Pelodiscus sinensis: one gene and its partners. The protein of the gene in region 3 interacts with the protein of the main gene of each other region in a pairwise test. Links are inferred from orthologs where the notes say so. Each region holds a gene or a part of one and is shown on either strand. Other genes may lie near its edges.

Region 1 (8,032 bases), on a different chromosome or scaffold from region 3:
ACCATGATTCCTGATTGCTTGTCAGAGATTCTTGCGTCCAAGGAAGCCAGCCCTTTTGAGATCCTGGCTTCTAACTAGCTCCATCACAAGATGGGCCTCATCTTCCAGGCCATCCAAGAATTCCAGTCAACTCAGAAAAATGAAAAATCACTAGCAAAAGCTGACTAGCTGTAGATTTTTACAGAAGAGGACTCTGGCTCAGATTAATTGAAAAGCCTATAACAGTCTGTATAGAAAATAAGATAGGTTTTTACTACTAAACAAACTTCTTTTCACAACTACTAGGCTGGAGAAATACAGCTACATGTAGTCCTAGCACACATACTTCCTTCCAACACCCAGACCATCTCTTTCCCTGGATTCTGTTAGTCCCTCTCAATTTTGGCCCTGTAGCCAGATGAATACAGTTTTCCTCTTCTGGGGTATCAAAGTACAAATGTGTCAGGCAGTCTTCTGTTACACCACCTAGACTGTGCCACTTTTCTGGTAGCTGGTAGAAGCATCCAGGCTTACCTTTCACTCCAAGTTCCAGCCCCAAAACCACATGCTATCCAATATTAGACCCTGTTGTTTTTTCCCCATCTACTGTGTCCCTCTGCTGGCCCAATAGTTACCAATAGAACATCCTCTGTTCCATTTGGCTGTGATGTTACACCCCATGTTTTTATGCAAAATATGCTTTTGAATATGAATATGCATAACTAAAATATGCTTTATGCAGAATGGGGCAAGTAACCTATCCTTCAAGAACGTGTGATTCCCTGCATGTGTAGATTCTGTTTGTGTGCATATATCTTTCTTGCATGTGAAGTTATAAATAAGAAGTGTAAACCTCCTTATTAAACTAAGTCTTCTAGTAAAAGCCAATAGTGGTAATTAAGGAACTTAATGGCCCAGTGCTTGAGGCAACAATCTGTAATTTGTTTTGTTTTTCCTGTAAGCCTAAACTGTAGGGCTATGTCTAGACTGGCATGATTTTCCGGAAATGCTTTTAACGGAAAAGTTTTCCGTTAAAAGCATTTTCGGAAAAGAGCGTCTAGATTGGCACGGACACTTTTCCGCAAAAGCACTTTTTGCGGAAAAGCGTCCATACCAATCTAGACGCACTTTTCCGCAAAAAAGCCCCGATCGCCATTTTCGCGATTGGGGCTTTTTTGCAGAAAACAAATCTGAGCTGTCTACACTGGCCCTTTTACGCAAAAGTTTTGCGCAAAAGGACTTTTGCCTGAACGGAAGCAGCATAGTATTTCCGCAAGAACACTGACAATCTTACATGAGTTCGTCAGTGCTTTTGCGGAAATTCAAGCGGCCAGTGTAGACAGCTGGCAAGTTTTTCCAGAAAAGCGGCTGATTTTCCGGAAAAACTGGCCAGTCTAGACACAGCCTAGTTGTTCCTACAAAGACCGGTGACCATGCTGCCTGAATCTGTTTTTTTTCCTTTGGGATGGGGAGGATGAAACAAAGACTTCCCACACTGGGAAAATTGTATTTAAGGAACAGAATCAATATATGATTGTCTTTAACTAGCTTCACAAACTGCTCCCCTCCACAAGAGGACACATGAAGGCTATGTCTACACTGGTGGCTTCTTGCACAAGAACATCTTGTGCAAGGGTTCTTGTGCAAGAAGTCTTGCGCAAGAAAACGTCCACACTGCCATGTGCGACCTGTGCTTTTGCACAAGAGCGCCCATGGCAGTGTGGATGCTCTCTTGCGCAAGAAAGCTCTGATGGCCATTTTAGCCATAGGGCTTTCTTGTGCAAAAAATCCCTGCCGAGCGTCCACACTGCCCTCTTGCACAAGAGAGCCTGCGAAGAGGGCTTACACCTGTTAAAAAAGAGCATAGCTCTTGCGCAAGAAGCCCTCTCTTACCACACCGTACTGTAAATCTTCTTGCGCAAGAGCGGGCGGGCCGTGTGGACGCTCTGCGGATTCTTGTGCAAGAACAGCCATACTTGCACAAGAAGTCGCGAGTGTAGACATAGCCGAAGAGACCGAGAAACAACCCTAACAACGGGAGCAGCTGTTAGGCCCAGGTCAGAGAAAAGATGAACTCTGACTTGAAGAATTTTACCTGAAGTAAGAACTACGGGGAGGAATTAAGTTATGTAACAATTTCTCTCAGTGTATTAGGCTTAGCTGGCATATTTTGTTTATTTTAGCTTATTAACTTACTTTGCTCTGTCACCACTTGCAATCATTATAATCCTACCTTTTATACTTAATAAAATCACTTTTGTTTATTATCAACCCAGTGTAAATAACTGTTACTTGGGGGACAGGGACAACAGATGTGTACATCTATTTCATTGATAAAGAGAACAAATTTTATGAGCTTTCTCTGTGTAAAACTTTTATTCAGAGTAAGACAGATTTACTGGGGGGACTGGTCCCTATTTGAGGCTGTACTCCTAAGTGTTGTCAAGTCCCTGTTATTGAGCCCTCAGAGAGATGAGCTATTATCAGTGTCTGTGTTACTGTGCTGAGGGTCTGTTATCCCAACTCTGTGCCTTTGCTGGGGGAGACCAGAGCTTCTGGCCCAGCAGGACAGGGTAGGCGAGCTCAGTGGTATGATCAGCACATCAGTGACATTCTGAAGGGGATGTCTGTGATCCAACCCATCACAGTGGTTACTTCATCCTCCCTCTAGTTCTGGCCAGCATCTCTATTCCCAGGTAAGACTCCCAAGGATTATTTTTGTCTCTTACTTAACACCCCCTTTTTTCCCCATAGCCCCTATCTTGCACCATCCTCCTTCTTGCGTTTTATATAAGCTCTGCATGCCTCTGCCCCACTGTGATTAATCACTTAAGAGGTTAGCAGCTCTGACTATATTCCAGGGATAGCCTGTTATAGGGTTAATAGGCCCTTTCTATCTATTCAGGACTGTGATGAGATATATACCCCATCATGGTCCTCTCCTGCAGATTAGAAACAGGGGTTAAAAATAGCAATGAGATTCAGCTGGGAAAACTGCAGCTAACACATCTGGTGGAAAATGATCTGTGGTGTGGGAGGCTGGTCCCAAGAGCAAGGGATACAAGAATTGCTTTGCCTGGGGATGGTGTAGGGGTGGGCAAGCACCTTGGATTTTATATAATAAGGTAATTAACGTGCCTGAGATGTGGAGGTAGGTAGGTTAGATATCGTGTAATTGAATCGTCATGTAATCACATGACACTTTAGTGGTTACACCACTATTTGATAGTCCCAGGGGAGCCCCCCTGCACTGTTACCTCTGTATCAGGGACAGCAGCATGGAATGGCAGGCGGAGCTGGTCCGTTTAGGGAGCCAGTTAAAAAAACCATCTCCTCAGGCCGACTGGTTGCCTGCTGCCCCACTATGACACATTAATACAACCTGAGCAGTTGGTGGATACTGACACGCTCCCTCTCAGGAGTGTCCTCTTTTTCGAAAGTTCAAAAATGGTAACCCTAGGGAACCAGCATTTAAGCTGGCTCCCCCAGCACCCTCCGCGCTGCCTCTGGAGGAGGCAGCAAGGGGGAGGGAGGGGGCCCACAGAGCTGCTCCTGGTGCATATTGGCTCCAGCCTACTCCCTCTCTCCATCAGTGGCAGCAGCGGGGGGGGGGGGGGTAGGTGGAGCTGGTGCTTGGGGGGGGGGGGAGGAGAAGTGTGTGTGGGAGACCAGATCACCCCCATGAGCCCAGGTTAACCCTGTGGGTACAGGATCGCTTCCCCAGGCGGCGGCGGGCACGCGGGGGCAGTGGAAGCGGATCACAGGATTTCACAGAAGGCTCCTGACGGGCGAACCATGGCAGGGTCTGAGTGCGCTCTGCCAGCTCCCCCTTACCTGCGCTCTCCGGGCAGCCCCGCAGCCAGGCCCATAGTAACAAGGGGGGGCGGAGGAGGGTCTCCTCTGAGGAGAGCGCGGGGCCGTGGGCTTTGACCGCAGGTGCGGGGGGGGGGGGAGGGGGAGTTTCGCGCCGGGGCGGGGCTGCGGAGCCGGCAGCGCGCGGTCCTTCCGGTGGAGCTCGGCGCGCCTCCTCCCGAGCTTGGCCTCGCCGCCCCCCCCTCCCCCCGCTCGCAGCGCCGGCTGGAGGCGCGCGGGCCCAGGTGAGCCGCCCGCACTGACTCCCCCCTCCTCCGTCTCCGGGGGTCTCTGGCAGTTGGGAGGGGCATTGGGCGCAGCCCTCCCCCGGGCTCTTCGGCAATTGAGGGGCACTGGCTGCAGCCCCACCCCCTCCGCGGCGGCAGTTGGGGGAGGCGGGGCACGGGGTACAGGCCCACCCCCTCCCCGGCGGCAGTGGGGGAGGCGGGGCACGGGGTACAGGCCCACCCCCTCCGCGGCGGCAGTTGGGGGAGGCGGGGCCCGGGGTACAGGCCCACCCCCTCCCCGGCGGCAGTTGGAGGCGGGGCACGGGGTACAGGCCCACCCCCTCCGCGGCGGCAGTTGGGGGAGGCGGGGCCCGGGGTACAGGCCCACCCCCTCCGCGGCGGCAGTTGGGGGAGGCGGGGCACGGGGTACAGGCCCACCCCCTCCCCGGCGGCAGTTGGGGGAGGCGGGGCCCGGGGTACAGGCCCACCCCCTCCGCGGCGGCAGTTGGGGGAGGCGGGGCACGGGGTACAGGCCCACCCCCTCCGCGGCGGCAGTTGGGGGAGGCGGGGCACGGGGTACAGGCCCACCCCCTCCCCGGCGGCAGTTGGGGGAGGCGGGGCACGGGGTACAGGCCCACCCCCTCCCCGGCGGCAGTTGGGGGAGGCGGGGCACTGGCTGCAGCCCCACCCCCTCCCCGGCGGCAGTTGGGGGAGGGGCACGGGGTACAGGTCCACCCCCTCCCCGGCGGCAGTGGGGGAGGTGGGGCACGGGGTACAGGCCCACCCCCTCCGCGGCGGCAGTTGGGGGAGGCGGGGTACAGGCCCACCCCCTCCCCGGCGGCAGTGGGGGAGGTGGGGCACGGGGTACAGGCCCACCCCCTCCCCGGCGGCAGTTGGGGGAGGTGGGGCACGGGGTACAGGCCAACTGTAGCTTCCCTCCAGCTTGGTTTGGTTGTGGCCCTGAGACAGGCCCTGGTGTGTACATGGGCTGTATGTGCCACGCCAGGAGTCGCCTGTCCCTGTGTGCACAGCCCGAAGTCAGGGGCAGGGCTGCCGTCCTCTGAAGGCAGCTGAGGTCTCAGCCTGGGAAGTGTGCACTGGGCATTGCAAAGTTCTGTCTGTGCTCCGGGAAAGGGCTGCTCTCCCAGCAGCTTAGGGTGCAGATGCTCCAGCAAGAACTTAAAGCCGGGTTTCCATTTTTCACTGCTGTGGAGTGTGTGCTGTGCACATGGAATGCGGCTACTGCCCAACAGCAGCCTTGCACAAACAGGTTAGGACTGTAAGGGAAGATTAGCTGTATTAGTCTGAAACCACCTGAGAAGTTCCATCCCAAGTCCTGCAAAAACAGACATGTTGATTCCTTGGGACTATTTGAGTGTTTACACTATTCATGTAGTGTGACTTAGTTCCACTTTGCCCCCTAGTGTAGACCTGGCCTAAATTTTCACAAGTTTCAGGTCTATGTCAGGGCTGAGTTTAATAGTGCTTGAAGACACGGAGGTAAACATAGGTAAATAGCATTGTGTGTTAGTGTCTTCAGTGGTTACCACAGTGATACTCAGACTATGGTTCACAAGCTGTATGTGTATGGTTCACAATCACTATCGTGATTTAATTGTTCACTAATCAGGATGCTTTTACTATGTCAGTTAATTGTTATCCAGTTGCATCAAGTTATTGACTTTTTTGTTGTGAGAATTATATATGTAAAAACAAAATATTTCCTGTCATGTTGCTTAAATATGAACAGTACCATGTAGGGATGTAATAGTGTAGTTGATTAACCGATAAGCAAACGTTTATAGGCTACATGCATTCCCTCCACCCCCAGTACATTTTTTAGCAGACTGGCCAGCAGCCTGGCTCAGTCCTAGCTCATGCCAGACCCAGCACCTACCCCCACTGCAGCTCTGTATTTAAAGCTTGTTAGGAGCCAGGTGGACAGGCAGCCTTGGCTTAGTTCTGGCTTGAACTCGGTCTGGGAACTCAGACCCACCCCCTATATAGGGTCTGTTGCCACTGGGCACTTTTGCCTCTATCAGAGGCAGCAGTGTGAGGTGCATCCGGTCTGTAAGGGGAGCTGGTTTTTAAACTGGCACCTGGTGCTTCCACCTGGCACCCGAGCAGGGGGCTCCTCAGGAGTGGGGCCCAGAGTGCACTGGCTGCTGGCCCCCACCCCCGGGGACTAAAGAATAGTCAAGTAACCAGTAAAAATTCATGAGGTTAACCTACTATTCAATTAACCGTTATTTAATATTCCTAGTACCATGGGGAATGAAACCATGAATTCACACTACTGTGGGTCTTCTGGGTAATGCTGATTAGTAATTTGGTTCTTGAACCACAGAGGTCTGAGTATCATTTGGCTCTAAGTAATCAGTGCCTCCCTTTTATGTCTCATGTAAAAGAAGGGGTCCCCATCAGCAAAATGCCTCATAACACCTTACTGGGGCATTGAGTTAGAATTGTGTCATAGAGCATAGTGACAGAACCACTGGCTGCTTTCTTAGGGAAACTTATTAATGCAATGTCCACTTGGCCTGGGGCTGCTAACTTGTGAATGAATTTTGACATCCAGACTTTAAAGAATCTGCAAAAGTAATAAAAGGGTTGCTGTTTTGTTCAGTTCTTTATGTAAAGGTGTGCTGGCAAAAAAACCTTAAAAGTATATTAGAAATTCAGGTATTGTCTACTTTAAAGACTGTGTGGATGACTGAAGAACTAGTAGGAAAATGACATTGTAGGCACCAAGGAAATGGAACTTGTGTGAAGAAGTGTTTATTCTGTTTATAATCGTGGTGGTTTGTTTATTTGTTAATGCCTACCTAACTCAAATGCTTGACAGTTTTGGAGGAAAAAATCAGTAAGGAAGAGTAACAATCCCATTCCTTCAGTTAAGCATTGCCATAGTTACCACTGGTGTTCTTGGCTCCTCCAAAGAATCCTCAGCAAAAACAGGAAATTCAATACTTATAAAGTCATAAATGTTAAAAATAGAAGAGACCATTATGATCACTAGTCTCATCTTCTGTGTCACGCAGGCCAGATAATTTCACCCTGCACATTCCTCATCAAGCCCAATAAATAACTAGAGCAGAGAGATAGTATTTCAGTAATGATCTCACCTGTGTCAAATACAGAGGTATTACAACCCAATCTTTTGTCATCTGCGACATTTAAATAATTGGATTTTATATTGTCTTCCAGATGATTGCAAATATATTGAACATCTTTATCAATGAGAACTGATTCTTGTGGCTCCCCACCAGAAGCCCAGCATCTTGAGGATGAGTCTCTTTTAGCACTGACATTTTGAAATCTGACAAGTTTCTAATCCATTGAATATGTGCTATGTGGATTTCTGAATGATACCGCTTTACTCAGCATGTCATGAGATACAGAATCTTGCAGAAGTCAAAACATTTTGCTTCTTGTTGGGAATTAATTCTACCATCCTTTAATTCTGTATTAGTTGGGTCTTGTATTAGACATTCCATTATTTTACCCAGGATCACTGTCAGTCTGTTTGGCCTATAATTATCCCAATGATCCCAACTTTTCCTTCCAGTCCCCTGGAATTTCCCAAGTATTATGAGATTTATTAACTACTAGCAGACTTACGTGGCATTGCCCAAGTCTTTCAGGGCAGGGCCTTCAGGATGTGGGTGTGTGCTGGGCCAGGAGTGTGTTCTCTCCCCCCAGCCCACCCGGGGCCTGTTCTCTCACTCTCGCCTCCTTGATGCTGCAGCCAAGGGCTGGGAAGGGGGAAAGGGTTTGGAGCGGGGGGGGCTACTTACTCAGTGTGGTCTGTACTGGCAGGCAAGATGGCATAGCCTCAGCCCTGCTGCCCCTGGGGAACAGTCTTTAATATAGCTCTTTAATATCGCTGCCTGTAGAGGCTACTCTCCTTTTGCGAGCTTCGGAACAGCAGCCCCTCCCTTTGCATGTTATGGAAAGCTGTCCTTTGCCCGGGC
Region 2 (7,648 bases), on a different chromosome or scaffold from region 3:
ACTCCCTGCTGCGCTTCCTCTTTGAAATGTACAAGAGCCCCAGTAGGCTGGCCCCAGGCTCCACGTGACGTTTCAATCTTTGAAATGCACCAGAGCCCCAGCTCGGGCCCTGATACATTTCGAAGTGGAAGTTCCGGCATGGAGCCCAGGATCAGCGGGACTCCCCGCTGGCCCCAGGCTCCACGCAGCATTTCGATCTTTGAAATGCACAAGAGCTGCTGCAGGGGCTCTTGTACATTTCAAAGACGGAATGTGCTAGTTCTTATCGACCAATGGAATAGTTGATGGAAATCCCATTGACTATTCGATTAGTTAATGAATTGAAATGTAACATCCCAAATGCCAGGCACTGGGTCTCTTTGCTCTCAGGTGAGCAGGTGACTAATGGGGATCGTTAAGGCAGGATTCCTGCCTGTTCTGGCACCACAAACCACACTGTACCCCAGAAGTGGCCCCGGCTCCTAGGCCAGAGGCCATGAGGCTCCATGCACTGCTCTGCCCCTGAGCACCGGCTCCATACTCCCACTGGCCAGGAACCAGCCACTGGGAGCTGGGGAGGACAGTGCCTATGAGTGAGAGCGGCACGCTGAGCCACTTGCGCACCTCAGCTTAGGACTCAGATCTGCTAGTGGCTGCTACCGGGGCACAGGATGGTCTAAGGCACCAGGGAAGGCGGGAAGCCTGGCTTAGACTCCCCGCTGCTCTGCTGACTGACAGTTGCTGGGGGTGAGTCCATGCCCAACCTGGCACCCCAATCCCTTGCCCCAGCCCTAACCCCCCCCCCCCACACACACACTCCAGAGCCCACACACTAGTCAAAAGATAGAATTATGTCAGGCCATGCAAATCCACATGCAGGGTACCACCACCTTAGGATGAGAAATCCCTCTTTTAGGAGCCATTAGGGAGTGGAAGTCAAAGATGAGAACTCAAGAACTTTAAAACTACCCCTTAGAGCTGGATAGTTACAGCCAAGCCTCAAACAATGCTCTTCAGAATCAAAGGATTGCTTCAAAGTTACCCCGAGCCTGAATTTCACCATTAGAGATACACTGGAGGAAGATGTGTTGAAATCAAACAGGTGTGGGTATTGTGGGGAAGCTGAAAAATCCTAGCTGAGAGAGACACGTATAGAAAGCATAATGCCATCTGTGACGTCTCTTGGCGTAACCTGTTCAGTAAGTCATTCTCTTATGCCCTGCCTCAGGTGTGAGTGTCTTGCTTTGTTGCAACTTGGTGTTAGCTCCCTGACACTGCCAACTTGTTTGTCACGTAAGCATTTGCCTGTGGGCTACACCAGTCTTGTCTTTGAACTGGTGAACCTCAGTTTCTGTCTCTTTCAATCATTCCTCTGTGATATCCAGCCCCTGCCACTGGTTACTCACAGAAATACCCAAACTTTTGCCCCCTCCTCCAAGAAACAGTGTGACCCAGTTTAGTAGTTTTGTGTTAAATCACTGCTCGTGTTAACTGTGAGTGCTTATACATCAACTTACCTTTTTTTAGTGAAAAAAAATGGAGAATTAACTAGAAGCGGGGAGAGGGGTGTAGAAAAGCATTTATAGCACGGATCATAAAACACAAACCTGGGTCTATCCTTATGAAGTTACCTTCTTACCTCATGAAGTAGGCTTCCCCCAAAGTTCAGCCTGTTGCAGACCTGGCTGGCTGGAAGCAGGATCCAATTTTTCAGGAGAACCAGGATGCATCCTCAGTGAAAGGTTGCATATGTTCCCCCCCTCCTCTGTTATAAGGAAAGTCTTTTATCTTTATTTATAGACAGGACAAACTGGTCTGCTGTAATGTTCCTTTTTTACCTCCAAGTGGTTTGGATTGTTTGCAGTCACTGATGATATTCCATTGATAGTCTTGGGAAGAAATAAGGCCAGACAACTGAGCCTTGCATTACCTCACTGGCTAAACGTGGCAGGATGATAGCTTCCCTCCTTGTGGAATCAGCCAGCACCAAGACTTATCTTCTGGTCACAGACTTCTACTCCAAGTCCATAAAGCATACTTCCCATCTAGTTACACTGTTTCTAGGCATTATTCCTGGTACATACATCTCACGATGATTGTATCTTGATAGTCATACGCTTTATGCAGATGCCTTACACATATTACTTTTTATGGATAGATATACTGCAAGACATGTTTGGAGTAACAAATCTATTAGGTCTGAGATTTATTTGCAAAGAATAATGGACCATCTAACATCTCAGGCCAAGTTTACAACTAGAAACTTTTGGTGGTATTGCAATTTGGTTTAGGGGTAGGATTGCACTGCATCATTTCTACACCTGCAAAAGCCCTAGCATAGATGTAGCTTTACTGGACTAAAAGTGCTTTTGCTAGTATAGCTTACTTTGCATATCAAACTTGCATAATCTATACTAACAAAAGGACTTTGTTTTGCCTGCGTAAGCTGAATGCGTGTAACCTAGGAAGGTTCTCATATGAATATACAGGTCGGACCTCCCTTGTCCAGCACCCTCTGGACCTGAGGGGTCCTGAACAATGGAGTTTGCCGGACAATGGGAGGTCAAGGCTCTGTTCCCAGTTGGGGCTGCGCTCCCTGTCACTGCCTCCAGCTCCACTCTGTGCCAGTCCTGCCCGAGGCTGCGTCCCCAGGACAGGGGCTAGCCCCATTACCCCCAACCCCAGCAAGTGCTGTTCACCCTGTTCTCCCAGTGCCAGCCTGGGCTGCACTCCTAGTGGACTCCAGCCCCGGCCGGGACTGTGATCCTGCATTGGACCAGTCCTGGCAAAGGCTGTGGTCCTGACCCCCGGCCCTACTACCTCCAGTCCTGACTGGGGCTGCAGTCCTTGCTGCCAGCCCTGGCCAGGGTTGTGCTCTTCACCGCGCTGTACCCGCTGGGGCTGAGCTCCCCATCGCCAGCCCTGCCCTGGCTGTGCTTTAACCTGGACAGCTAGGGCTCTCTGGTCCAACAACATTCGTCGTCCTGCTGGACCAGAGAGTCCCGGATTTTAGAGGTCCAGACTGTACCCGTGTAGCTACCTGCAAACCTTTTTGAGTGTAGACTACACTTTAAATTACAAGAACGTAATTTTATAAACAAAATGTATTTTTCACCATATAAACTGTTTGTTCATGCTTCTCACCCAGCTTTGATAGAGAAATCAAAGTAGTTAATTTCCCTTCTATTTATAAGTTAATTTCACCTTTGGATTCTCTTTCACTAATAAAAAGAACCCTCTATCATATTTAGTTGTAAAATACAGCAGAGAAATATTTAAATCTACCCTTTACCACAAAATAGCATTTTATTTTAAAATTGAAAATTTTATGGAAATATTTCTATTCCTTTTGTGTTTTGAAAAGTCCTATTGAATTCTAGCAAAGCCTAAATTTTAGTCTTGCACTAAGAACCCAATCCTACTTATTCACTGGCTATCTACTCAGAGGGTAGCCCTGCTTATATGTAGCTTTAAAAGCAATGAGTAGTCTTGTGGTACCTTAGAATATGTGTATACTGCAGGGTTTTTCTGGGATATCAGAGGTATCCCGGAAAAACTCTGCTGTATCCAGGGAACATGTTTGCTCTCCCACTTTTTTTTCCGGAAGTGCAAATGCGCTCTTTTAGAAGCCCTGTCTTCATTTCATGAGGAAGAAAGGATCTTCTGAAAGAGGGGGATTTTCTGAAATTTGGCCCAGTGTAGATGAGCCAAATTTCAGAAAAGCCTCTTCCAAAAGAGCTTTTTTTTTTTTTTCTGAAAAAAAAGCTGTAGTGCAGAGCTAGCCTTACAGACTAACAAATATATATATATTGCACCATGAGCTTTTGTGGGCAAAACCCACTTCATCGGATGAGCTGGAGGAGGGAGAACAGAAACCCAGAATTTACGACAGAAAAACTAGGGTTGTAAAAGTAATTCAACTGATTTCAGTGGGCTTAGTTACCTTTTCCATACTATTCAGTGCAGGTGTGTGGAAGGAGCGGGCAGCTCATGTTCTCTTCTGTGAGCATGCTGTGCATGCACCACACCCCCCAACACTGCACGGGGCGAGGAAAGCAATTCTAAATATAGCCCTTTGCCCCGGTGACAACTCATCTCCGCCCGCTCGCTTCCTGCCCCCCACGCAGGTTGAGGGGGAGGGTAGCAAGGGGGGGGGCAGCCACGTGTGAGTGAACCCAGGGCGAGGGGCCCGCGTGCACCAGTGACTCCGGGGGAGGGGGGGGCATTGCCCCCCAGCCCGGGCCGGTGAGTTTCGGGGGCGAACCCCACGAGCTGCACCCCCCAGCCGGGGCCGGGCGGGTAAATGCCCCTCCCTGGGGCAGACCAGGGACCCGCTCGCGCCCACGGGGGGGGGCTCCACTGCCCCGGGGGTGCCCGGCGCTGCACAAACAGAGCAGCCCGGAGCTGCCCCCCCCATTGCACCCCCGCGCTCGGGCCCCGCCCCCCGCAAGCGCCCCTCCCGGAGCGCGCGGGCTGGGGGGTGGGGGGGGGAGCAGCGCGCGCGCCCCTCGGCCCCGCCCCGCCCCCTCGCCTGCGGGGCCCCGGCGGCGGCGCGCGCGCTCCCGGGCGGCAGGGCCTGCGTGGCAGCTGGGGCGGCGCGCGCCCGCGCGGCGGGGGAGCCGAGCAACAGGCGCGGGCCCGGGCGGGGGCGTCGGGAGCGCGCGGCGAAGTTGTGGCTGGGACTCGCCGCGGCGGAGCGTGGAGCGGGGGCCCCGGGACTCGCGCCCGGCGGCAGGTAAGAGCCCCCCCTCCCCCCGCGAGCAGCGCGGGAACGGGCCGGGCTACGGACACCGGGGGGGGCACGGACCTGCGGGGGCTGGGCAAGGCCTGTGGGACGGGGGGGCACAGGGGCTGGCTGGGGGGGCACAGGGGCAGGGCAAGGCCTGTGGTACGGGGGGGCACAGGAGCTGGCGGGGGGGGGCTGTGGGGCGGGGGGGCACAGGGGCTGGCGGGGGGGGCTGTGGGACGGGGGGGCACAGGAGCTGGCTGGGGGGGCACAGGGGCAGGGCAAGGCCTGTGGTATGGGGGGGCACGGGCTGGCGGGGGGGGGGGCTGTGGGACGGGGGGCACAGGGGCTGGCTGGGGGGGCACAGGGGCAGGGCAAGGCCTGTGGTATGGGGGGGCACGGGCTGGCGGGGGGGGGGGCTGTGGGACGGGGGGCACAGGGGCTGGCTGGGGGGGCACAGGGGCAGGGCAAGGCCTGTGGGACGGGGGGGCACAGGAGCTGGCTGGGGGGGCACAGGGGCTGGGCAAGGCCTGTGGTACGGGGGGGGGGTGGCCATTGACCTGCAGGGGCTGGGCAAGGCTTGTAGTGGGAGGGGGCCCGGGGTGGCCACTGATGTGCAGGGCTTTGAGGAAGATTCCTGTCTCAGTGGCTCTTGGGCTTGCTGCTGTTCAGCCGGGGCCAGGGGGAAGGTCCATCTCGCAGGCAGATGCGACTTGCTCTCTTCTCTTGGGACACCTGTCTTCGTTCTGTCACTTTTTGAATGTATGTAATGGCCAGGTTAGGGGCTGGCTCAGGAATGGTGTGCTGGAGCCTTTGCTGCTGCCTAAACTTGCTTGCCTAAGTTTCCTTTGGTGGCCACTTCGTGTGCTATCCGCACAGGGGTTTTGTGTGTCTTTAGGATAAAAGGACTTTCCATGTCACTTTTATACTCATAGAGTGAGACAGGGAAAAGTCCTATTAGGACATATTATTTCTTCCCACCCTCTCCAGAGCTAATGCAGGATTGTTTCCTAATGGACATTCTTGTCCTTTGTTCATTTTAAATGTTCCAGACAAATAGGGTGTCCATCACTTCCTCTGGGGGACTAGTCCAAACGGGTACGTCTACACTGCACGGCTATTTTGGGATACCAGAGGTATCCCGAAGTAGCAACCCCACATCAACACAAGCTGCCCATTATTTTGAAATATTTTTCAAAATAACAGGCATACTATTTTGTCATCCCGGTAAACCATGTTGCACAAGGGATAAGAGATGGCTTGAAATGGAATGTTATTTCGAAATTTGGTGCTGTGTAGACACACCAAATTTCAAAAGAAACTATTTCAAAAAAGATTTGAAATAAGATATGCAATTTGCGTGTCTTATTTTGAATTTAGGGTGCTGTGTAGACTAACCCTAACAGACTAGAACTCGCTGTCAGGAATAAGTGTCACAAAGTAATGTGCTAGTGCGGTGTTTCTCAATCAATGGCACGAGTACCCTTAGGGGTACTCAAGAGAAGTCGGGGAGGGGAGGAAGTACGTCAACACAACTGAAATTTGGAGAAAATGGAATTTTTGTTTTAAGTTTTACAGCGCTTTATTATTTTTATACTTTTTACACCCAAAAATTTAATTGCCCGCCCAGCTACTATTAAGATGTTTAAACGAATGTGTTGCAATGGTAGAAAATTTTTGTGTGTGTCTGAAAACTGTAGGTACTGGGGGTACTTATAATTTTTTTTAAAAGGGGGTACTTTTTTTGGAAAAGAGGTACTTCACAAAAAAAAAGTTGAAAAACGCTTTGCTAGTGTACTGGGATCACATGGACATCAGTCTTAATGGAGGGGAAAGAAACAATGTAAATAGGAAGGCAGACAGGAGGAGATAAGTAATTAAAGGAGTTGGAGAAGTGTTGAGTGGTAGTGCCATGGCTTCCTTTGGTAATGTGACTTCCCAAATGTATTGCAACTCTTGAGTTTTGAGACTAACACTTATCTGGATGAATTTGAGGATAGATTGAAATAACACTAAAATGCAGTATGTTCTTCTTTAATGGAGGTTTGTTGATATATAAGTGCTGTTATGAAGGGTGTTAGCAGGCAACATTGTTTCAGGAGGTAAGCAAAGTTAAAATTTCTCTAAAAATAGGGCTATTTGTGTGGTTTTATGTGGGTTGGTGTCAGGTTGCTTTTTTAAAAAAACATTAGAGATGGTGGTGCTGTCTGACACACATACTTTAGCCAGCGGTTTCCGTATATTTCTGTTCTGTTCTGGAAGAGCCAAATCACCTCATGGAATATGTTCTCAACCATCTTCTAAAACATTGATTTAAAGGGAGTACTCTGGGGTTTTCTGGGGGAACATCAACTCATCTAGATATTTGAATAGTTTAGTGGGCTACATAAAAAGCAGTAGTGAAGTCTGTACAAACTAAAATTTCATAGACAATGATTTGTTTATACTGCTCTGTATACTATACACTGAAATGTAAGTACAATATTTATATTTCAGTTGATTTATTTTATAACAGTATAGTGGTAATGAGAAAGTAAGCCATTTTTCAGTAATAGTGTTCTGTGTCACTTATCAGTTATATTTGATTTTGTAAGTTTTAAAGTAAGGTGCAATGGGATACACAAGACATATCAGACTTTAGAAAGAAGTACAGTAATCTGGAAATATTGAAAGCCACTGCTCTAAAATCTCTTACCTTCTCTACTTTATTCTCTTCTGTGGTTTCATGGGCCATGCACGGAGCTCTGCAATTACTAGTTAGTGTATGGACTCTACTCTGAGAACCTCTCTACCATCAGACATTTTCCATTTGGGGACTCTTCTGTTATTGGGTTTTAACATTCTGCTGAACATTTTAAGGGAGAGGTGCCTAGCTAGTCTTAGAGTGCTTTTTTTTCTGTTATTCTTAAATGGTATAGTATCTGGAATAAAATCAGTACATTT
Region 3 (7,965 bases):
GTCCTGGCAGGGGGGGTCACTGACTCTGTTTTGTCTCCTTTGCAGGCTTCTCTCCGGCTGCCTCCCCCGTTCTGGAGCCTGGGGGGGGCTCAGCCCAGAGCCCCCTCCCAGGGCCGGATGGAAGGAGCCTTGAGCCATCTGCCAGGGTGAGGGGGGGGCTGCACTCCTGGGGGGGGGACCCATCCTTGGGGAGTGGGGACTGGCTGGGGGAAGAACTGGGGGCTGCTGTCAAAGGGGGCCCCAATTCTGACTGTCCTAGCCCAGCCCCCCAGCCCTGCCAGTGCCCCTCCCTCCCACCCCACAGACCCTGGCTCCCCCCCCCCACGTCTCTCTGTTCCCCGCAGGGCGAGGCAGCTGGCGTGAGGGACGAGGTCCCAGCGACGAGGGGGGAGACCTGGGGCTCCCAGCCCCCCCAGGGCCCTTCTAGAAGAGGGGCTGGGTCCCCCGAGCTGGACGGAGGGCCCCCCCTGCAGGAGACAGACGCGGCACCAGGTGCGGTTCCTCCCCCCTTGCCTAGTCTGTCTGGGGAAACATGCACCCCTCTTGTCCCTTCCCCGCCCCTTTAACCCCCTCCCCTGCCCCCACAGGTCTCCACTCGCCTCCAGCCGCCCCCCGCCCAGGCCCCCTGGAGCCCTGGGAGCAGAGAACCGAGGAGCTGCCAGCCAAGGTAGTTGGGCTCCCTCACTCCCCTGGGAGTCGGTGCCTGGGAGCCCAGATGCCTGGGTTATCTCCCCAGAACAGGGAGGGCCCTGGGGTGTAGTGGTTAGAGCGGAGAGGGGAGGGGCTGGGAGCCCAGACGCCTGGGTTCCCTCCCCAGATTGGGGAAGGGGGTGTGGTCTAATGGTTAGAGCGGAGAGGGGAGGGGCTGGGAGCCCAGACGCCTGGGTTCCCTCCCCAGATTGGGGAAGGGGGTGTGGTCTAATGGTTAGAGCGGAGAGGGGAGGGGCTGGGAGCCCGGACGCCTGGGTTCTCTCCCCACATCGGGGAAGGGGGTGGGATCTAATGGTTAGAGCGGGGGGGAGGAGGGGCTGGGAGCCCGGACGCCTGGGTTCCCTGCAGGTGTTTGGTCTGCGATTCTCCCCTTACCCCAGGAGCGTGTGCCAGAACCCCCTGGTCCCCACCGGGCCCGGATGAGCATTGAGGAGCAGCTGGCGAGGATGCGGCGGCACCAGGAAGGGCAGAGGCAGCATGAGGCGGCCAGGCCGACGCCTGGGGCTCCTCGGCCTGGCTCCCTCCGGACCAGCGCCAGCCGGGTGGGTACGCAGCCTGCGGGGGAGGGGCTGCCAGGGGGTGGGGCATGTCCTGAGGCCACACCCACTGTGCCCCCCCAGTCAAGCTCACCTCCGGCCTGCCAGTAGTGCAGGGCCCCTGGGTTCTTTCCAGGTTCGGAGAGGGGAGCGGGGTCTAGTGGTTAGCGTTAGAGGTGTGTGCCTGGGTTAGGACATGGGCGGGGGGCGGGGCGGACACGCTGAACTGCTTAGATTCCCTCCCTTCACTCCGCCTTCCAAAATTCTCCAGTTCCGCCTTCCAGCTCCCCCTCCCAGCCTCGGGCCGGAGCCAAGCCTGACCGACATGGACGTACCAGTGAGGGGGGGGCAGACCAAGGGACACTGGGGCGGGCCTTCCCTACCCCCCGAGAGAGACCGTCACCGGATCAGGAGCCTGGCATACGCGCTGGCCACCGAGGCCTCTGAGCGCAGCAAACTCATCACAGGTAACAGGGCTGGGGGCCTGGACACTCGGGGGGCGGGGGGGCGGGGTCTAGTGGGCAGAGCAGGGGGCTGGGAACCAGGATGCCCGAGTTTTACCCCCCCCTTTAGGGGCCTCTTTCTAGACCCCCTCCCCTCCCCTCCCCTCCCCTCCCAACGGGAAAACAGCTAAACAAACACAGTGGAAAATGGCTGGAATCTGGTTCAGCTGTTGGGGGAATTTCTGGCTCCGGCTGGCAGGTCCCTGGGGTAGGAACAGCTGGGGGGTGGGGGAGAGTCTGGGGCAGGGGGTGGGGCTGGGCAAGGGGCCCATTTCTCTTTAATTCACTGAAGATCTGAAGGGGTTGCCTCATGCCCAGCCCCGTGCCCCACCCCAGAGGTGGCTGCATCTCCATGCTGGGTGAGGGGTCGCCTATACCCAGCCCCCCCCACCCCAGAGGTCTCGGCTTTGGGGGGGGGTGACTCTGGTTTCCTCTCTCTGTGCAGGGAAGCCCCCGCCTGAACCCCAGCGGGAGGGCTGTGACCCCCGTCTGAACCCCTCCCCAGAGTCGCTGCATGCAGTGACCAATCAGCACTTACCGCTTACCATGATAGCCTCCAGGGAAGACCCAGGGGCCAATCACGTCGTGACTAAACCGTGCAGCCCGGCCAATCAGAAGACGGCATTTACCGCCCAATCCGTGCAGCGGGCAGAATCAGCCAATCAGGCATCGCCTCTAAATCAAGCGGCCAATTGGGCATCGTCTGTTTCTGAGTTTTCTCACTGGTTGTCCGCCTCGCCAGATGCAGCCAATCAGGCCTCGTGTCTGTCGGAGGCAGCCAATCGGGCATCGCCACTGCCGGACACATCGCATTGGGCAGCCCCGTTGCCTGAATTGGCCAATGGGACGTCGACTGTACACAAGGCATCCAGTCGGGCGTTGCCTCCGCTCTGGGCCTCCCAAAAGGATTGTGGGAATTGGGTGCTGGAGCAAAGGATTGTGGGTCACAAAGGCTTGGCCAATGGCAGGTGCCAGGGGCAGGGTGCGCATGCCCCACCCAGCCAGGTGGTGGCGTACCTGTGCGAGGGGAGCCAGCCAATCAGGATAACCCTGCTGCAATCCAGCTTCTAACCCATTGGCTCAGAGGCAGGGTCAAGTCCCGCCCCTTCTCTGCATCATCGGGGGGGGGGGCTATATATGGGGATGTGCCCAAAGGGGAGGTGGGGCTGGGACCCAGGGTCAAAGGTCAGACTGGGGACTCCCTAACCCAGTCACCAACCAGTTGATCTTGGGATCCTGACTGGTTTGGCCGGGAAGCTCTCAAGCGCTGCCCCTCTGCCCCACGGTCCTGCTGCTCCTGCCCTCTGCCTTAGAGCTGCCCCCCAGAGCCTCCTGCTCGCTGTGCAGGGTGTGGGGCGGGCAAGGGGGGGCGCTGATGTCAGGGTGTCTCCCCTCTCCCCCACTTCTGTATCCCATCTCCACACAGAGAGAAGGGGATGGAGGGAGCGTGGCAAGGCAGATCTCACACTGTGTGTGTGTCCGTCTCTGTCTCACCCCCCCCCCCCCGTCCTTCCCTCTCCTCTCCCCACCCAACACACACGTGGGGGGTTGTTACTTTTCCTGCTTGCAAAGTGGGTTCCTTTCGGTTTGGGACAGCTCCGTGCGTGTCATCGTTTTCGTTTCTCTAGCGCGTCAGTGTCATTCTTTGGGCCGTGAGTTCTAAACTGCCGCACCTGCCGTGGCCGGAGTCACCAGCCCCGTGGCCATTGCTGCTGGTGGAGATGGTCCCATGTCCCTGCAGCCCCTGAGGGAGGCAGAGCAGGGGGACTCCACATGCCGACCCCGCTCCTACAGCTCCCACTGATCAGTAACGGGGAACCGAGGCCAGTGGATGCTGTGGGCTCAGTGCCGGTAGAGGAGGGGCAGCACATGGCGCCACGGAGCTGTTGCTGAGCTGCCAGCTGCTTTCAGGAGCGGGGCGGGGGCAGGGTGGACGTCAGCTGCCTTAACCCCCCTGCCCCACCCAGCGGAAACCGCCAGAGTCTGCTCCCTGAACCCCTGTCCCTGCCCCGAACCTTCTCCTGCCCCAGACGTGAGTCCCCCTGCACCCAAATTCCTTCCCAGAACTTGCACCCTGAACCCCCCCGGACCCCGATCCCCCGCCCTTGGCTGAGCCCGGAGCCCCCCCCATGCCAAACCCCTTGGCCCAAGACCAGACCCTGCACCCCAACCCCCTACCCCAGCCTGTGTGAGTAAGTGAGGGTGGGGGAGGAGAAAGGGGCCTCAGAGAAGGGGCGGGGGAAGGGTATGTGGGGGTGACATTGCCCCTCCATCGAACAGGTGACCTTGGGGTTAAAAAGGCTGGAGACCCCTGCCCTAGCCCCATGCAGGGTCCCAGCATCTTGCTGCCCTCTGGTGGGCAGATTGGGAAGTGCACTCCCTGAACCCTCTTCTAGTCCAGCCCCCCACCAGCTCTGCCAGTGCCCCTCACAACCGCCCTGCAGCCCCTGCCCTAGGCTCCCTCCCAACACCCACCCTACAGGAGCTGCAGCGAAGGGGCCAGTCAGGGGCCAGTGGGAAGGGGGATTTGTGGGGTACTGGATGGTCCTCTGCCCCCCACCTGGGCTTTGGGGCCAGCAGATTTCAGCCACAGTCCCAATGCAGCTGGAGTCAGAGACGTGGGAACCTGCTAATTGCTGACAGCCTGCACTCTCCCCACTGCCAGGGGCTTTCTCTTTGGGCGGGGCGAGGGGTCCTTGTGTACCCAGCCCCCGCCCTACTGCAGTGGGGCCCTGGCCCAGCGCCAGTCAAGGGGCCCCTGTCAGTGTTCCCCCTAATCTTTTCCATCTATGTGTGGAATAAATTTTATGTGTACCAATGCATGTGCGGATGTGCACCACCTGTGCGGAAGAAATGTGCGTACCGAAGCATGTGCGGACGTGCACCGCCTGTGCAAACAAAACTGAGCTGTGGGCGCTCTGCCAACCTGCTCGGCTGCAGCTGACTCTCCCCTGGATGGCCGCCCAAGCGCTCAGCTTACAGGGCACACCGGTCCCTGGATACCCAGAACCCCACCCCAGGGGCAGCTGGGAACTCAGCCTCGATTTCCCCTGGACCCTCGGGGCGTTCGTGGGGGCACATCGCAGACAAATGTACTCAATAAATCTCATTTATGTTGCCCTTGTTGAGCCCTTGAATCTCTGAAACTTTATTGCCCAGACAAATCCCCTGCCCCCCATAGCCAGCCAGGCCCTGCCCTGTGGCCGGGTGGGAGCGGCCCCCTAGAGGGAGGATGCCCCGCCCCCGCCGGACAGGACTACATTTCCCAGGATGCACCGCCCCTCATGTGCCCTGCGGGCAGCAGCTTCCCTTTTTCCCTCGCCCCGAGCAGCTGCGAGCCCGGGTGCGCCCAGCACCATGGCCTCGGGGCTGCGCTACCCGGGCCGGGTGGCCATTGTCACCGGGGGCAGCCGCGGCATCGGCGCGGCCATCGTGAAGGAGTTTGGTGCGGGGGGACCTGCAGGGGGGCTGGGGGCATTGCGGGGGGGGGGGCGCTTCTGGGGCCAGGGGCTTGCGGGGGGGGGCGCTTCTGGGGCAAGGGGCTTGCGGGGGGGGGCTGCAGCGGGGTGAGGAAGCTTGGGGAAGGGGGGGCAGTAGGGGGGCGGAGGCGGCCGTGGGGGAGCAGAGCCCTGCGGAGGGGATCAGGGGAGATTTGTGGGGGGCTGGGACATTGCAAGAGGGTGGATGTGGGGCTCCTGGGGGGCTGGGAGTGGGGGGCAGACTCCAAGGTTGGGCTGCGTCTGGCATCTTCGTGGACTTTGTCTGTCTGTCCCGTGTCCATCTATTCGGCCGGTCGCTGACCCTGGGAGATGGGGGGAGGGGCCATGGGTGAAGAACGCGGCAGCGAACCCCCTGCAGCCCCCAAACTCCGCTGCTAACGGGGAGACTGGACTTATTGGGGGGGTCTTCCCCTTCCTTCCCCTCCTCCCTCCCCCTCCCCCTCCCCCTCCATCCCCTTGTTCAGTGGAGACGTGGGGGGGACGAGTTGAGATTAATGTATCTTGAGATGTGTGGGGCTGGCCAGCAGGGGTCAGCAGAGCTGCATCGTCTCCCACGGGCACTGCTGTGAGGAAGCTCGCAGCACCACGCGGGACGTTCCCATCTAGGGCCACTGCTGGGAGGAAGTTCAAATTCCTGGGTGAAGGGGGGCGTGTCCCTGTCTGGGGGCACTGCTGGGGGGAAGCTCGCAGCACCAGGGGGAAGTTCCAGTCTAGGGGCACTGTTGGGGGGGAAGTTCACATTCCTGGGTGAAGGGGGGCGTGTCCCTGTCTGGGGGCACTGCTGGGGGGAAGCTCGCAGCACCAGGGGGAAGTTCCCATCTAGGGGCACTGCTGGGGGGAAGTTCACATTCCTGGGTGAAGGGGGGCGTGTCCCTGTCTGGGGGCACTGCTGGGGGGAAGCTCGCAGCACCAGGGGGAAGTTCCCGTCTAGGGGCACTGTTGGGGGGAAGTTCACATTCCTGGGTGAAGGGGGGGCGTGTCCCTGTCTGGGGGCACTGCTGGGGGGAAGCTCGCAGCACCAGGGGGAAGTTCCCGTCTAGGGGCACTGCTGGGGGGAAGTTCACGTTGCTCTGTGTGTGTCCCGGTCTGGGGGCACTGCTATGGGGAAGCTCGCAGCACCAGGGGGAAGTTCCTGTCTAGGGGCACTGCTATGGGGAAGCTCGCAGCGCTTGGGGATTTACTGGTGCTGGTGTTTTTACTGCTAACTTGATTCTCTCATCTCCCTCCCCCATGTGCTTCTCCATCCCCTGTTGCACCCCGCTTTGTCCCCTCCCCCCCAGTTCGGCAGGGAGCCAATGTGGTCTTCTGTGCCCCCCAAGCTGAAGGTGAGAGATTGCTCCCTGTGTTTCTGGGGGTGAGGGACGTAAAATCCCGTTTAATTGGTTAACCATTCACATCCCTACTGGGACCCCTGTGGCCGAAGTTGGCAGCCTGGGGGGGTGGGGGGGAGGGACTAGTCTCCTTGTGCTGATGGGGGAGGGGGAGAATAGTTCTCTCTCGGCTCCCGAAATCCGTCCTCCTGCCAGAACCGGTTCCCCCCCCTTTCCTGGATAGTCTCCCCACCCCATGTTTGGTGTCTGTGCTCCATAGCCCCCTTTCCCTTGCAGAGGCCATGGGGCGGGCCCTGGAGCAGGAGCTGCAGGAAGCGGGGGGCCCTGGAGAGCCCCATTTCCAGCCCTGTGATGTCACCAGCGAAGAGGAGATCCAGGTGGGTGGGGGAAGTGGTACGGGGGGGGGGGTCTGCTCCAGGGTGGGGGAGGGGCAGATGCAGCAAGTGTATATTACTCTCTGTGCTTTCTGTGGGGGGATGGGCAATACTGGGGGGGGGGGAACCTCAGCTTGGGGCCCAGTGGGTCAAATTCCCCCCACCTGTGTCCTGCTCTGGACCCCCAATTCCTTCTTCCCCATCCCCACACCCATCTCCCTGCTCCCCCCACCTCCATCTCTGCCCCCACCTTGCCCGATTCCCCCACATCCTCCCTCCCCTCCCACACCCAGCCTCTTGCTCCCCTTGCCCCCCGCAACCCCCCACCCGTTCTCCTGCCCCCCAGGCGCTGATCGCGGTGACCTTGAAGCGCTACGGCCGTATCGACTGCCTGGTGAACAACGCCGGCCGCCGTGAGTGGCCCCCCCCATTGGGGGACAGGAGGGGGGGCCCCTGGGGCAGCCCGGGAGTGTGGGGGGAACCCCTGAGCTGGGGGGCTCAAGGGCCATAAAGGGGTGTCATGGGGGGCCCCGCGGACTTGACGGAAGGGGAAATGGGGATCCCAAGTCTGAGTCGGGAGGGGAGGGGGTTTGGGGCCGGAGTCCCACTTTTCACCCCCCACCCGCAGATCCTCCTGAGGAGCAAATTGACGACGTCACCGCCCAGCATTTCCGGGCCCTTCTCGACCTCAACCTGGTCGGCTACTTCCTGATGGCAAAGGTGAGAGTTGCCCCCACCCTGGGAGGGGCTCCCAGAAACCCAGGCCCCTTGCCCCACCCCAGAGCCAGCTGCATCCCAGGGCTAGGGAGGGGCTCCTGTATAGCGAGGCCCCGTGCTCCACCCCAGAGCTGGGGGGGGGGTTCCTGTAATCCCAGCCCCCAGCTCCCACCCCAGAACCAGCTGCATCCCAGGGCTAGGGAGGGGCTCCTGTATACCGAGGCCCCGTGCTCCACCCCAGAGCCGGGGGGGGGGGGGTTCCTGTAATCCCAGCTCCCACCCCAGAGCCAGCT

Evidence for each region.
Region 1: the proteins of HSD17B14 (region 3) and MPG interact in binary tests that used the Homo sapiens proteins (3 or more experiments, as listed by UniProt). The two-hybrid records come from large-scale screens. The link is inferred for Pelodiscus sinensis from reciprocal best matches to the Homo sapiens genes HSD17B14 and MPG.
Region 2: the proteins of HSD17B14 (region 3) and NEK6 interact in binary tests that used the Homo sapiens proteins (3 or more experiments, as listed by UniProt). The two-hybrid records come from large-scale screens. The link is inferred for Pelodiscus sinensis from reciprocal best matches to the Homo sapiens genes HSD17B14 and NEK6.

Annotation. Positions count from the first base shown.
Region 1 is NC_134726.1:4,783,617-4,791,648, reverse strand, and holds the start of MPG (DNA-3-methyladenine glycosylase), read left to right. Parts: upstream 1-4,941; 5' UTR 4,942-5,286; coding exon 5,287-5,328; intron 5,329-8,032. UniProt on the Homo sapiens protein: Hydrolysis of the deoxyribose N-glycosidic bond to excise 3-methyladenine, and 7-methylguanine from the damaged DNA polymer formed by alkylation lesions.
Region 2 is NC_134732.1:24,211,354-24,219,001, forward strand, and holds the start of NEK6 (serine/threonine-protein kinase Nek6), read left to right. Parts: upstream 1-4,555; 5' UTR 4,556-4,714; intron 4,715-7,648. UniProt on the Homo sapiens protein: Protein kinase which plays an important role in mitotic cell cycle progression. Required for chromosome segregation at metaphase-anaphase transition, robust mitotic spindle formation and cytokinesis.
Region 3 is NW_027465977.1:64,060-72,024, forward strand, and holds the start of HSD17B14 (L-fucose dehydrogenase), read left to right. Parts: upstream 1-4,917; 5' UTR 4,918-5,020; coding exon 5,021-5,195; intron 5,196-5,271; exon of another isoform or gene 5,272-5,552; intron 5,553-6,530; coding exon 6,531-6,575; intron 6,576-6,857; coding exon 6,858-6,958; intron 6,959-7,301; coding exon 7,302-7,368; intron 7,369-7,583; coding exon 7,584-7,675; intron 7,676-7,965. Other genes in the region: PLEKHA4 (pleckstrin homology domain-containing family A member 4), read left to right, coding at 46-146, 345-492, 588-667, 1,092-1,253, 1,519-1,714, 2,196-2,821. UniProt on the Homo sapiens protein: Catalyzes the NAD(+)-dependent oxidation of L-fucose, yielding L-fucono-1,5-lactone, which rapidly converts spontaneously to L-fucone-1,4-lactone. Can also act on D-arabinose and L-galactose, with lower catalytic efficiency. Does not use NADPH.